Tamandua tetradactyla: one gene and its partner. The protein of the gene in region 1 interacts with the protein of each later gene in a biochemical or structural test. Links are inferred from orthologs where the notes say so. Each region holds a gene or a part of one and is shown in the gene's direction. Other genes may lie near its edges.

The links.
Region 2: the proteins of ITGA2B (region 1) and RNF181 form a complex in vitro, tested with the Homo sapiens proteins (2 studies listed by BioGRID). The link is inferred for Tamandua tetradactyla from reciprocal best matches to the Homo sapiens genes ITGA2B and RNF181.

Annotation. Positions count from the first base shown.
Region 1 is NC_135332.1:23,085,920-23,093,177, forward strand, and holds the start of ITGA2B (integrin alpha-IIb), read left to right. Parts: upstream 1-4,161; 5' UTR 4,162-5,737; coding exon 5,738-5,925; intron 5,926-7,258. UniProt on the Homo sapiens protein: Integrin alpha-IIb/beta-3 is a receptor for fibronectin, fibrinogen, plasminogen, prothrombin, thrombospondin and vitronectin. It recognizes the sequence R-G-D in a wide array of ligands.
Region 2 is NC_135343.1:59,894,282-59,901,346, forward strand, and holds RNF181 (E3 ubiquitin-protein ligase RNF181), read left to right. Parts: upstream 1-4,863; 5' UTR 4,864-4,926; coding exon 4,927-5,012; intron 5,013-5,472; coding exon 5,473-5,603; intron 5,604-5,785; coding exon 5,786-5,895; intron 5,896-6,062; coding exon 6,063-6,137; intron 6,138-6,384; coding exon 6,385-6,444; 3' UTR 6,445-6,521; downstream 6,522-7,065. Other genes in the region: VAMP5 (vesicle-associated membrane protein 5), read left to right, coding at 1,325-1,462, 1,920-2,069.

The DNA of each region.
Region 1 (7,258 bases):
AAATTAGATTCCCCTCTCATCCTCAAGCCCTTGAAAAAGGAATACCATGTCCATTTCTTTCTTATTCTCTCATACAATTTGTGTTCTACCGTCCACCAGAGAGGAGCTTTTTGACTTGGCTCTTGAGTTGGGTGCTTGGATATACCTATTTTCCTAAAAAGGCAAAGATCCCTTCCCAGAAGGAAAGGATATTAGAAGTTGAAAATTGATTTTTCTGAGAGCAGCAAGGCGTCAACTAGAAGTGACACTTGCCTTCACAGAGTATGCCATATACAGGTCTGTGCAGTTACCGTATTCTGACACCTTCTTCCCAGCCCCTTGGGCTTGAAACATATGAGTACTCCCTCTTCTCCACCCTTTGACTAACTCAGGCCTTGTCAACCATTTTCATTCTCATTTATAAGGGATACCTTCACCTGCCCCTTACCAACTCATGCCTGAATTATTGTAACATCTTCCTGGCTGGTTTTCTTGACCCTCGGATTGAATTCCCTGCCCCATGTAAACATGCTGCTTTTCCAGAATCTGAGTGCAATTCTTTTTGTATTTGCTGTTTACTAGTAAAATTATAAGCTCTGAGAGGCCAAATACTCTCAGAGTTATTAGTGTGTGTTACATAGAATTGAGTAGATATTAACATTTTGATTATATATTTAAGATATTCTACTGCTTCTCTAATAAAAAAAAGGATACGAACATAATCAAATGTAAACTGAGGATTATACATCAAGATTCATCAAGGGAACATTCAACATTTCTATTTTTTTCCCATCATATAGGTCAGTGCCAGGCACATAATAGAAGCGCAATAATTGTTGGCTAAATGAAGCCTTAATTGAACTTTAAATTCAGTGAGGGATTCTAGGACTCAGGCTTATGGGGTGAAAAAATGGAAGCAGTGTGTCAGCATTCCTCTGCCTACTATCTCAGAAGGAAGGTCAACCCAGGTCTGACACCAAAGAAACACCCATGAGGAACAGAATCCATACTGAATAGCAAACTCTCCCCACATCTGTTCATCTGCCTATTTCCAATTCTAAATGGTACTCCTGTCCTACCAGCCAGCCAGGCACCAAACCATATCCAGTTAACTGCTTCTGTCATCTCTGCACTCTCTTTTGTTCCTGACATTAGTACCCTGGTTGAGGCCTCATCACCTTTTTATTTTTTTGATTTTGTAAACTATGTTAACATATATAACTCAAATTTTCCCATTTTAACCATATTCAAATGTACAACTCGGTATTACTATATTCACAATATTGTGCTACCATCACCCATATCCATCACCCCTACTTTTCATCGTTCAAACTCCTCACCCGTTAATCCATAACACTCTCTTCCTGCTCCTAGTAACCTATAACTGTGACGTTTGTTTCTTCTAGATGTTTCATATAAACAAGATCCCACAGTATTTCTCTTTGTGTCTGACTTATTTCACTCAACTTGATGTCTTCAAGGTTCATTCATGTTGTAGCATACATAAATTTATTTTTACAGCTGAATAATATTCCAGTGAGTATTTATACCACATTTTGCTTATCTGTTCATTGTTGATGGATGCTTGGATTGCTTCCACCTTTTGGCTTTGTGAATAATGCTGCCATGAACATTGATGTGCAAGTATTTGTGTGAGTCCCTATTTTCAATTCTTTGGGATATATACCAAGAAATAGGGTTGCTGGGTCATATGGTTATTCTGTTTTCAATTTTCTGAGGAACCACTGAACTGATTTCCACAGTGACTACACCACTCTGCAGTGCTACCACCTATTTCTCTGCATTCTCATCAGCTCTTATTATTTTCTGTTTTAATAAAAGCGATCCTAGTGGATATGAAGCAGTATTTCACTGTGGTTTTGATTTGCATTTCCTAATGACCAGATGTTGAGCATCTCTTCATATATTTGTTGGTCATGTGTATATCTTCTTTACAGAAATGTCAATTCAATTTTTGGCCATTTTTAAATTGGGTTGTCTTTTTTTGTTGAGTTGTAGCAGTTCTTTATATATTCTGAATATCAAACCCTTATCAGATATATGATTTGCAATTATTTTCTCCCATTCTATGGGTTGTCTTTTCATTTCTTTGATAGCGTCCTTTTTGGCATTCAAATATTTTTTGATGATCCATTTTATCTATTTTGTTGTTATGGCTCATGCTTTTGGTGTCATATCTAAGAAATCACTACTAGACCCAAGGTTATGAAGATTCCTCCCTATGTTTTCTTCTACGAGAGGCATCATCACCCTTACCCCAGAAGTTTGTAGTCACTACCTATTTGGTCTTTCCACTAAGCCTTTCCTTTTCCAGTTCCTTCTGTCCTCAGGCAGCCAGTGAATCATCCAAATTAGAGCTTAAATGATCAGTGTGTCTCTGTTTCCTGTGTTAAATTCTTTAGGATTCACCATCTCCTAAGGATTAAGGGGCAAATTCCTTAATGTGGCATTCAAGGACCTCCACTGATTTGATCCCAGTCTTCCTTTCCCTCCTCATGTTCTAATCTACCCCTTTAAAACACCCTATGCTGAGTCAATACTTGCTTTTCCCTATAATTGACCTCTGTGTTCTGTTACTCTGCTTATGTTATTCCCCGTTCCTAGAAACCCCTTCATTCTCTAACAAAAAGCAGCATAGTGTAATGGTTAAGAACATGGACTCAAGCAGAAACCTGTTTGAATTCTAATTTTGCTACCCATTAGCTATGTATACTTGGGCAATTTACCTAAAATTCTTCGTTACACTTTTTTGCATCTGTAAAGTGGCATAATAGTACCTACTTTATAGGGTTGTTATGAGAAACATGATATAAATATCATCATCTAGGAGCATTATTTACAATTGCAAAGAGATGGAAACAGCCAAAGTGTCCATCAACAGACGAGTGGCTAAACAAACTGTGGTATATACATACGATGGATTATGCAGCTTTAAGACAGTAAATTTATGAAGCATGTAATAACATGGATGGACCTAAAGAACATTATTCTGAGTGAGACTAGCCATAAACTAAAGGACAAATACTGTATGGTCCCACTGATGTGAACCGACATTCGAGAATAAACTTGGAATATGTCATTGGTAACAGAGACCATCAGGAGTTAGAAATAGGGTAAGATAATGGGTAATTGGAGCTGAAGGGATACAGACTGTGCAACAGGACTAGATAAAAAAACTCAAAAATGGACAGCACAATACTACCTAATTGCAATGTAATTATGTTAAAACACTGAATGAAGCTGCATCTGAGCTATAGTTTTTTTTTGTTCTGTTTTTTAATATATTTTTTGTATTTTTTATTTTTATTTTTTCTCTATATTATCATTTTATTTCTTTTTCTGTTGTCTTGCTATTTCTTTTTCTAAATCGATGCAAATGTACTAAGAAATGATCATACATCTATGTGATGATATTAAGAATTACTGATTGCATATGTAGAATGGAATGATTTCTAAATGTGTTAATTTTTTTTTAATTAATAAAAATATCATCATCTAGGCATGATTGAGGTTTTAGGCACAATCTAAACTTTTCAAGGCATGCTTTACTGTTCCTCTGCTGCAGTTGTGCATTCATGTTCATTGGACTATACAAAGTATATCAGTACTACAGTAATTACTCAGTTGAGGACAATGGGAGGTTGGAGAGAGACTAGAGGGCTGGGTTAAGTATTTATTCGAACAAATATCTTGTATTCCTACCATGAACTTGTCTCTAAGAATTCAAGCATTGAAGAATGCTCAGACTAAAGCTCAAGGATTCTTTTTTGTTATAGCATAACTTACATCTTTCAAATGGAAAAACAATAGTATCATTTACAGTATCTTAAGATAAATTGCCTCTGAATGGGAGTTTCCTTTCCAGTACTTTGAGGTCCACGCAATATATCTAGAAAATTTACAGTTCTAGAAAATGAAGACTGCTTAAATCAAATGGGGATCAGGAGAGGGCCTATTGTTTTCTTTTTGTAGTAAAACTGCTGAGAGAGTTGATTTTTTTCTTTAGACATCATTCGCCACCAAAGCTCTTCCAGAAAAACTAATGATATATATAGAGAGAGCTCTTGAGTCTACCATTCATATTAACTCCATATTAATTTTTTTAACAAATGGGAGTGCTTCTGAGTATTTATGTCCACATTCTGCTTTAAGACTGTGTATTTAATTTTCATAAATTATTCTTGGAGGCCCATTTATCATCCCTGTCAATCTTGTAAATTCATGCCTTCATCATCTTCTAGACCCCAGCTAACTATGCCACTCCTGTTACTTTTTGGCCTTCTTTGAGTTCTTTCAGAAGTCAGAAATTGCAAGGGACTTTTTCTCCCGAGTCCGTGGTAACTGCCATCTTGTGTTGCTGTCACTCTCAAACTTTTACCCTAGTGAAAGATGGTATTTTGAGTTATGTGCTAAGGTGGTGAGGGAAAGGGAAGTTCTTAAGGGATTCCAGAATAATACAGAGTAGTTGGGGAGGATAAAAGAATGGTTAAGTTTGATCTGAAGAGAAACATGAATCAGAACTCCGAAAAGTGGCTATGTTCCTTTACTCCTTGGTACTCCTGGCCTCTGCCTCTCATTGGTACTCCTGTCCTCTTCCTCTCATCTATAAGAGATGACCTTGCCTTTCTTCTCAGAACTCTTCCTTTTCTTCCCATATGTGATTCCATGTTTGCATCTTCAGCCTAAGTACATGCTTCTGTTCAGTCTGTTTATGGTTCTTTCAGCTGTACCTACTACATGTTGGGTTCTTGACTAAGCCCTGGGGCTTCAGAAGGAAACTTGCTCTCCAAGGACTCATGGACCCAATCTAGCAAACAGATTGTAACTAACTGGAGTGATCAGCACTGTGCCTCAGACTCCAGCCTGAGGAGTCAGGGGAGGCTTCCTCTAGTCAGTGACCCCACCAGAATCTTCATAGTTGGACAGAAGCTCTGTCACCAAAGAAGGCACTGCTTCCACCTGAACAACTGGTACAAAGTCTCAGAGTCTGTGAACCAGAATACCCTGGAAGACCACTTTCTCCCTTGCCCAAATGCAAGATCCATTTACCAACCCCCTCCCCAGTGTTAGCTTCACTGCTGTGGCCACACTGAGACTTGCCCCAAGGTGGAGAAGTGAGGAAGCTGCTGCCTCAATATAACTGGCTGAGGCTGCCCAAGGTCCTGGCAGGAGGAAGTGGATAAGTACCATATCTAAAAAGAAATGGCATCCTTAGGCCGTATCAGGGACAGCAGTTTCCTTATTCCTTCCCCAACTTCTGGCCAAGTCAATGTGCACAGCAGTACAGCCAGCTAGGGGAGAGTGGGTGAGGTGGGGACAGGATTGTAGGATGCAAAAGCTGTAGTAAAGAACTGTGGGCTACAATGGAGGTGTACACACTAGTTAATTCATGATTGCACCATCCCAAGCAGAAAGTGATGACTGGTAGAGAAGATAAGATTCAAAAGACAGTTAAGAGGTAGATCCAACAGGACTTGGTGATAAATGATAATGGGGGGCGGGTAGGGGGAGTCATAGCTCTCAGCCATAAGCATACTCCCCCAGGGTGAGGTCACCCCCACTTCCTGGCAATCCTAGGGACCAAATGAGTGCCTCTAGGGCCTATAGCCCATTGCCCTGCCCACTGCTTGGCAAGTTATTCTGAGTTTCAGTTTGATAAGAAAAGCTTCTGTGGTGAAAACCAAAAGGAAGTGAAAGAGCTGGCCCATTTCTGCTAGAAGGTTGTGGGAGAGAGAAGATGGCCAGAGCTTTGTATCCACTGCAAGCCCTATGGCTCCTAGAGTGGGCACAGCTGCTCTTGGGACCCGGTGCTGCCCCTCCAGCCTCGGCCTTGAACTTGGATCCACTGCGGTTCACCCTTTATACAGGCCCCAATGACAGCCACTTTGGGTTTTCATTGGACTTCTACAAGGACAGCCATGGGAGGTGAGCCATGGGAGAAGTCTGGGTGTTGGGAAAGAAAAGGAACCCTCTACTCTGTCACTGCTTCTGTGGGTTTCGAGTTCCCCATTTATGATGGAGGTTGAACAAGATGACATTGGAGTCTGTTCAGGCTGAGCTATAGACAGGAATGCTAGGGAGGGACTGACTCAGGTGAGGGTGGCAGGGAGGAGGTTGGTACTGAACCCCAGCAAAAACAAAGGAAAGACGAACGTTCCTGCCTTCTGTTTTTTCCCAAGGTTAAGTTGTATGACCTGCTCCATGCTCACCCTTTGGAAAGACAGAGAGTAGCATATGTCCTAAATTGACTTGCAAAACTGTAAAATTATCTACTCACCCCAATCCTCAAAATTATAGATATCTGAAAAGAAGCAATGTTATTTTAAGGTTGGGATTGTTTTAAGGTTGGGATTAAATAGACTGAAGTCAGGGAATCTTCAGGGAAGATTAGGGAACTGGCTCATTGTCTTAATAGCTTTACAGTGAATAGTAACTTATTGTGGTGGAACTGGTGGTGCCCATCTTTGGAGAGGGGCAATGGCAGATAGCCTGCAAATGTTCTTGATGGAATTTTTTCTGTTGAAGAGAGCTAATTCTCCCGAAGTCAAGTCCCCATTGCCAAGGTGGCTCACATCCAATGACTGATGAATTCAGGGTGTGGTGGTGGAGTGTGTAAGGATCTGGCATTCTAGCCTCAACCCAGGACTTTTCTGTAGGGTTTGCCAGAACTCCCCAGGAGAGGGGAATCAGGGGACAAAACTGTCATTAGGTCTGCATCTCTGCTTAACTCTCCTCCTCCCACTCCTGTTTCCCCTCCACAGGCATTGATCCCAGGGCCACTTCTTGGTAAATATTCCATGTGCTTTATATATATGCTATTTCTTATATATACTATATATAGTATATAAAATTTAGATACAAAATTTTATAATATATATATCATTTTATTGAGAACCTTTATGTATTTGGCTAGCACAATGCTAATTTATTTCATTTACCCCTGATAGCTTTAATTGGTTGGTATTATCTCCATTTTACGTGAGGTCACACTCACTGAAAAGTTAAATGACTGAGCAAAGTCTCACAGTAAATGAAGAGTTGTGATTTGGACCTAGATCTGCTAAGGGTCCTCAGCTCCATCAGCCCTCCCCCCTCCCATCTGTACCTAAGAGGCATTCTGGCTTCCCTCATTCTCCTTTACCATTGAAACCAGCTCTCAAGAAAAGATGTGGTGACAGTGTAATAGTCTCCAGACAGACGTTCTAGCAGCATGTATTTGAGTGGGACAGGTAGGGGGAGGTGGGGATGGTGTACAGAG
Region 2 (7,065 bases), on another chromosome or scaffold:
TCTCTTGAGAATGAAAGTTGCCTTTGGATAAGTTACAATGCATTTGACCCACTCTCTGAGCCCTTGTAGCGTTCGGCTCTGGGCTGGTCCCCAGGACTCTGGGATGGTAAAGGATGGAATTAGGGCACTGGGCCCTTCCCTTTCTGTGGGAGTTTGTGATCTAGCAGGGGAAATAAGACTCATATGTGGGGAATGCTTGGAGGCTGTGTGCAGGGCAGCAGCAAGCATCTGGAAGGAGGATTCCTGCCCAGGGGGGAGGTGGTTCTTTGCAACCACCAGATCCCTGTTAACACTTAAGTTCTCTGGTTTGCAGTGGAATTCACTCAAGTGCCAAAATGTCTGCTGCAGACAATAAGCGATGTGGGCTGGCAGGAAAGGGAACTTGGGGAGGAGGTGGGAACAGGGATGGGCTGTGGGGGCCCAGCACACCCAGGCTGAGAGCAGGGAGCTGCTGAGGTTTGTTAACCCACTGGCACTCACCTCCCTGAAATTTTCCTGGACCTGCTCCTGACCTCTAGCTCTTCCTTGTGCCTCTTTGCCCTGGTTTCTTCATCACACACCCAAAGTTCGTGACCCATCCTTTCTGTTTCTCCCCTGTCCTCTCTGTCTCTCCTCCAGTCCTCTGAAAGGAACTGGCTTCTCTTGTTGGGTGAGGCTGCCATGCCGGTGGGGAAACCCATGGGCTGGTCTCACCTCTGTGAGCCTGACCCTCGTGGAAATCTTGGCTGGCTGGAAGGCTGGAGGCCAGAGGCCAGGAAGGCCAAGGTTCCCAGGCAGAGGCTGAAGTGGGGAGCAATGTCAGGCCTGGATTGCAGAACTGGCCTGAGCAGTCAGAGGCCTGAGGATGGAGACCTGAGTGTCTCAGGTTGGAGCAAAGGGGTGTGTGGGGTGGAGGTAGGGTGGGGGTGGTAGAGGCAGAGACTATGATGTGCATTGGTCCAAAATTACCTTCTAACCTTGTGGGACTGGTCTCCTTTCTGGCCCCTACTCTGCTCTCTGCTGCCTCATTAGGCCAGTGGGAAGTCAGAGGGGAGCTGTGGATTGGGCAGTGAACATCCTGGAGCAGGTAAAGGGTCTGATTTGCTGGAGGTGGGGTCCTGGGAAGGTCTCACACTGGGGCAACTTAGTAGAAGCCGAGATGCTGTCCTAGGACCTGCCCCCTCTTGCCTTGAAGAGTAAAGCCACACTCACCCAGGACGCCCCTCACTGCATATACATCATACATTTACACCAGTGAGGCTGCTTCCCCCCTCGCGCTGCACATGCACACAGTGGGGGCCGAGCGGGGGTCTCACGCAGCCCTGACGGTGGACTTGGTAAACAGGCAGGGAAAGAGCTGAAGCAGTGCCAGCAGCAGGCAGATGAAGTGACGGAAATCATGCTCAACAACTATGAGAAGGTCCTGGAGCGCGACGGGAAACTGGAGGAGCTGGAGCAGCGTTCCCACCAACTCCTAGACATGGTGTGAGGCCTGGGGAGGCGGGGAGGGGAAGGGGGGTTTGGAAGAGCTCACTGAGGGTGCTCTCACGCTGTCCTGGCTGGATTAGGGGCCAGGGGTGGGGCCTCTGCTTTCCTGAGCATCCCCCATCCCAGGGATGCAATGAGTAGGCTTTATCAAGTCAGAAGTCCAGGTTATGAGGCTTGGTCTGAAGTCCTTCCTAAAGGTTGAGGACTGGCATTGTGAACTTGGGGGGAGGGGGGTCGCCCAGTTAGCATGGCACGTCTGGGGCTGAAACCAGTGTCCAGACCTGGAGTCTGGTGGGGAGGGTCCGAGGGCAGGCTGTGTGGAGGAAGGGAGCAGGCGCGGTGGGAGGATGCAGGCGATTTGGCCTGGCTTGGGGCATGGGCGTGGGTGGCGCTAGGCTCAGAGGCTCTGGGGGCACCACTAACTCCTGCCCTGTATCTGGGGGCATCCACAGAGCTCAGCTTTCAGCAAGACAACCAACACCCTGGCTCAGAAGAAGCGTTGCGAGAACATCCGTTGCCGGATTTTCCTGGGGCTGTTGGTGGGCTTTGTCCTCATTGTCCTGATTGTGCTGCTGGCCGTCTTCCTCCCAAAGGACGGGTAGGGCAGCGGAGTCCTGCAGGACACGGGCACTGCCTTTGGGCCTGGGGACTGACCCAGCTGGGCCTGGAGCACAAGCCAAATGGCCACAATGGCCAGTTCTGTTCTCCAGAGGATCCTGGCCTTTGTGCCCATCCAAGCCACCCTGGTGAGCTCTGAAGTATAGCCCCGATGTGTGTGTGCAGCTCTGCAGCTCTGCAGCTCTGCAGCTCCGCAGCTCCCATCATGCCAGAGACTGGCCTTGCAGGCAGCCTGCTGCACTGGCCAGGCCAGGCCCGCTCCACCTGGGGCGCAGTAAAGCTGCTGTTTGATTAAAATCTGCTGTGTGCGTATGTGTGTCTCATGGTCCCTGTACATGTTGGGTCCAGCCTCATTCTGTCCCAACCCCTGGGGCTTCTTGGAAAGCCTACCACACAGAGGCTCCGCCCCCGGGAGAAGGCATCTTCTTTTTTCCCTTCTTGATCCAACACTACACAGACAGATCTTTCTAGAGTGAGGGTGCAAGTACACAATAGCCCCCAAACTAGACCCTGGAACCAGTCTTCCTACTCTGACCCTGTTTCCCTGAGATGGAATCTATTATATAATATTTTCAGGCATCCTGAAAGGCCAGTGGGACTCTAGATGGGATGACAATGAGGAAAACATTTCTAAAGCAGTGCAACTGAGACGTTACGATTTAAAGAATGATTATGGTTGCTGAATCATTATATAGATATTCCTTTTTGCCTCCTGGTACATTGGAGTGGACAGAGGGAAATACCTGAAATCTTTAAACTGTAATCCAGCTGCCTTGATTTCTGATAATAATTGCATAGCCTTTAACTTCTGCCTTTTTGATTGTAAAAACCTTGTGACTGCCCATCGCTTGTACCCATTTTATCCGATTTTTCGACTTAGAAGTCTTGTGATCACTGAAGACAGCCCCTGATGTTTATTAATGAAGGGCCTTGGGTCAGCCAGAACTAACCCACCCCAATTCCAAAATTATCTTGATAGACAGATAATTTAGATTATCTGGTTAGATTCAGCTTCAAGATGGGCCCACCTGACATGTGCAGTAGCTTAGACTTTAACCTATAAGTCACCTATACCTCATTATAATATTAAAAATCATGCCCAGGGCGGGCCACCGTGGCTCAGCACGCAGAGTTCTTGCCTGCCATGCCGGGCACCCAGGTTCGATTCCCGGTGCCTGCCCATTAAAAAAAAAAAAAAAATCATGCCCAGCATCATTTTAAGGCCACTATTTTCTGACGTACATTGATTCCAAGCATGTAATCTGTGCATGCTCAATAATTAGATCACCTCTAATCACATCATCTGGAGCCACTGTGTTCATTATCCTAAAACCTGCCCATCTTTAGATACTATTGAACTATAAGAATTACTGCAGTTTGGAAAGACAGGTATTTGGGCCGACAGGCCGTCTGCTCTCCTGCTTTGTGCCTAGTAATAAACTCTTTCTCTCTTTCAAACCCGTGTTTTATGATTCGGTCATTGTATGCATAAGGCAGAGAGCCCACTGCCTCTGTCTGGTAACAGTAGCACGAGGCCCTCATGTTCAGACAGGCTTTTCTCCTTGTGGATGACAGCTCCCCCCAGTTTCTCCACTCATCTTCTCCCTCAAGCTTGACACCAGATTACAGAGGAAGCCATAGGCAGTGAAAATAGGGAGAGCTTGCAGCACCGGGCTGGATGGCCATGGGGAGGGGAGGAAAGAACTCAGGCTTTTCAAAGCTCCAGGGGCCAAATGGGTTCAGGCAGGCACGGCCTTCACTGTGACCGCAAGCATCACTGGGCTCAGGCTAGAAGAAAGAAGCTTCCCTGGAAGGTAGTGGAAACCTAGGCTACTTAACTGTAGCTCCGGGTTAACTGTGGGTGGGAAAGGGAGCTCAGGGTCAAGAGAAAATCTATGCTGTTTTTTTGCGAAGTAGACTGAAGACTTCTGACAGAAAAGCACGGATCCTTCCGAATTGGTGGAGTTTTACATCTTGGGGTGCCTTGTGCTTTTGCTGGGCTCATCACCTACTTCCTTTCCCGAGGAAAAGGGAGGGCAGCACTGGGCTCCGCAGATGCTCAGCAATGCCAGTCACAGGCTGTGTGCATTTCGGAAAGCCACCTCTGAGAGGCGGGTTTTACATGCCTAAAAAGGAGGTAACGGTACTCATTGATGCTACGTGTAAAATGCCCGTCAAGGTAAACGTTCTAACGCCAAATAAATGGTAGCATCATCCAAATAATTTAGTGCAGTGGTTCTCACGCCCGCCTCACATCAGAATCACCTGCGGAACTTAGAAAAATATCGTTAAATCCGAATCGTTGAGGGCAGGCGTCAGACAGGGTTTCCCTTCCTCTGTTGACCCCGGAGGTTCCCATGCAGCCAGGGTCGCCAGCTCTTCCTGGTCTAGTTTTTCAAGTGCTGGGGGCGAGGCTGGGCCCTGGGCTGCAGGTCACACCTGCCCCGAGGGCAAGGACATCCCCGATTCCCGGGCGGCGGGAGGGTTGGCCCAAGAACCCTCAGCTATGGGAACCACCCCCCGCCCCTCCCCAGAGGACACGCAGGGATTCTCCGAGGCCTGCAGGGCCGGGAGAAGGGCGGCACAGCTCCTCCAGGCGCCCCCGCCCACTCCGACGGCCCCGGCCCGGCCATTGGCCGCAGCCCTAGATCACCTGACTAGTCAGAGCTAATGAGACGCGGCCGGATCAGGACTTCCGCCTTTCCGGGCATCGAAGGCCACCTTTCCCGCCCTCCACCTGCTCTGATTGGCCACCTTCTGTCAGCTCATTAGCTTATTGGCCGGCGCCGCGAGGCCGCGGTCCCGCGGAGTGCTAGAGCTGGGTGGCTGGGGGCGGCGACTATGGCGTCCTACTTCGATGAGCACGACTGTGAGCCGTCGGACTCCGAGCGGGAGGCTCGAACCAATTTGCTACTGGAGCTCGCAAGGTGGAGCCCATGCCGGGGGGTTCTAGGCTGGGGCTGGAGGGCCTGGATGGGACTGTCCAGACTGCGGCCTGGTGGTGCGGGGGCACCGCCTGGGCAGGGTGACGGGGACAGGGCGCAGCTGGAGGGTGAGGGGCGTGGGGCCGGGAGGGCAGCGAGCTCTGGGCGGTACGAAGGCGGGCTTTGAGGCGGGCGCGTGGGCGGCGTCATTGCGGACCCCATCCACCGAGGCCGGCGCTGTTGGAACCAGCTTGGCCCAGCTATTCCTGCGTGGTCTTTGGGCTTGTGGCCCGATCGCAGCTGTGAACGTTTCCCACCTGCGTTTTACTTGGGGAGCCCCTACCAAGGATTCGCTGTTACAGCTCGTAGCTGGGCAGGACATTTATCCTTTGAAGTCCAGGGATTAAGGGGCAAGGAGGAAGTATGATTTTCCCTGGTTGCAGTCTCACATCCTCCTCTCCAGGTCACTTTTCAACAGGATGGATTTTGAGGACTTGGGGTTATTAGTAGATTGGGACCACCACCTGCCTCCGCCTGCTGCCAAGACTGTGGTAGAAAATCTCCCCAGGACAGTCATCAGGGGCTCTCAGGCTGGTGAGAACACGAATTCTTTCCGCGGTGTCGGGCAAGTGTGTTAGACTCACCTGTCGCCCCGAGCCAGACGGTGCTCTGGTCCTTCAGATTCCCTGGCCAGGTTGGGGCAAGAGTAACCTTTAGGAATGGGGATTGGGAGGTGTGGCCCACCGCAACATTTCTGATCAGCCTCCCTCCCAAAGAGCTCAAGTGCCCCGTGTGTCTTTTGGAATTTGAGGAGGAGGAGACTGTCATTGAGATGCCTTGCCATCACCTCTTCCATTCCAACTGCATTCTGCCTTGGCTCAGCAAGGTACCACTTCCCTTCCTCCAGCCCTCACCCTGCCCGGTCACAGTTCTCAAGCCTATGTTTATGGACTATTGGGGGAATCAAAGAAGGGGTGGGAATTGGAAAGAGGGGAAGGATGGAGGTTAATTAAGACCAGACCTGGGGCTAGAACAGTGCCCTGCTTTTCCCAGACAAATTCCTGCCCTCTATGCCGCCATGAGCTGCCCACTGACGATGACACTTATGAGGAACACAGACGAGATAAGGTAGGGGCTGGTGGTGGGCATGGAAGGTGGCAATGGGTTTCCTCTGCTCCTCTCCCTGCTGTTCTCCTTCCCACCTCTGCAGGCCTGTGAAGGCCCTCAGAGTCTCTGGCTCTGCTGTCTTCCCAGTGACCTTAGATGGGGACAAGGGCTTCAACAGTGAAGGTACCAGTGGCCTTCTGCTTCTCCATTCCTTCACCCACAGACCCCCAGGTGTTGCCCCCTGCTCACTGTGCTCTCTTCCTCCCAGGCTCGCAAGCAGCAGCAGAAGCATCGACTTGAGGACCTCCATGGAGCCATGTACACATGAGCTAACTGTGGCTGAATGCCAGCCCTGTACGTCTTCCTTTTTGCATCGTGAATCCTCATTAAAGGTTTCTTTACCCACCCTGCAGCTGCGTTGCTCACAAGCCGGGGTGGGGGTTTCAGCATACTCCATCTGGTCCTTCTTGCTCTTGGGGTAGGTGGTCCTGAGCTACAGAAGGCATCAGATTGGAGTTTCTTTTCTGCTGACCCTGTTGGCCTGTCTGGATTCAGGGCAGTACAGCCCAGGTCAAGAAGCCCATGTCAAGGGCTTGGGCCCGTGTGTTCATGGTTGGAAGGAAAAATGTGTGAGGATCTGGTACCTAGTCCAAGTCATTACTTAAAGCGGATAAACACAGACAAGCCCACTCCTGTAATTTTTAGTCAACTTCGGAATACCAGGGGGTTTCTTGAGCTCCAGTAAGAAAACATCTTCTAGCATTTTAAAGTTCTGCCTGTCCTCTACTATAAAGAGTCCATGTTCCAGCCAGACTATGAATGGAAAGAAGTGTGGGGAGGTTATGAAGCCAGGTCAGCTTTTTAGACTGTTCAGAAACCTAAGGGGCTTCTAGTTCCCTGGTGTCCTTTGTTCCTGACATCTCTGCCCTCCACGAGCCCTTAGAACCTT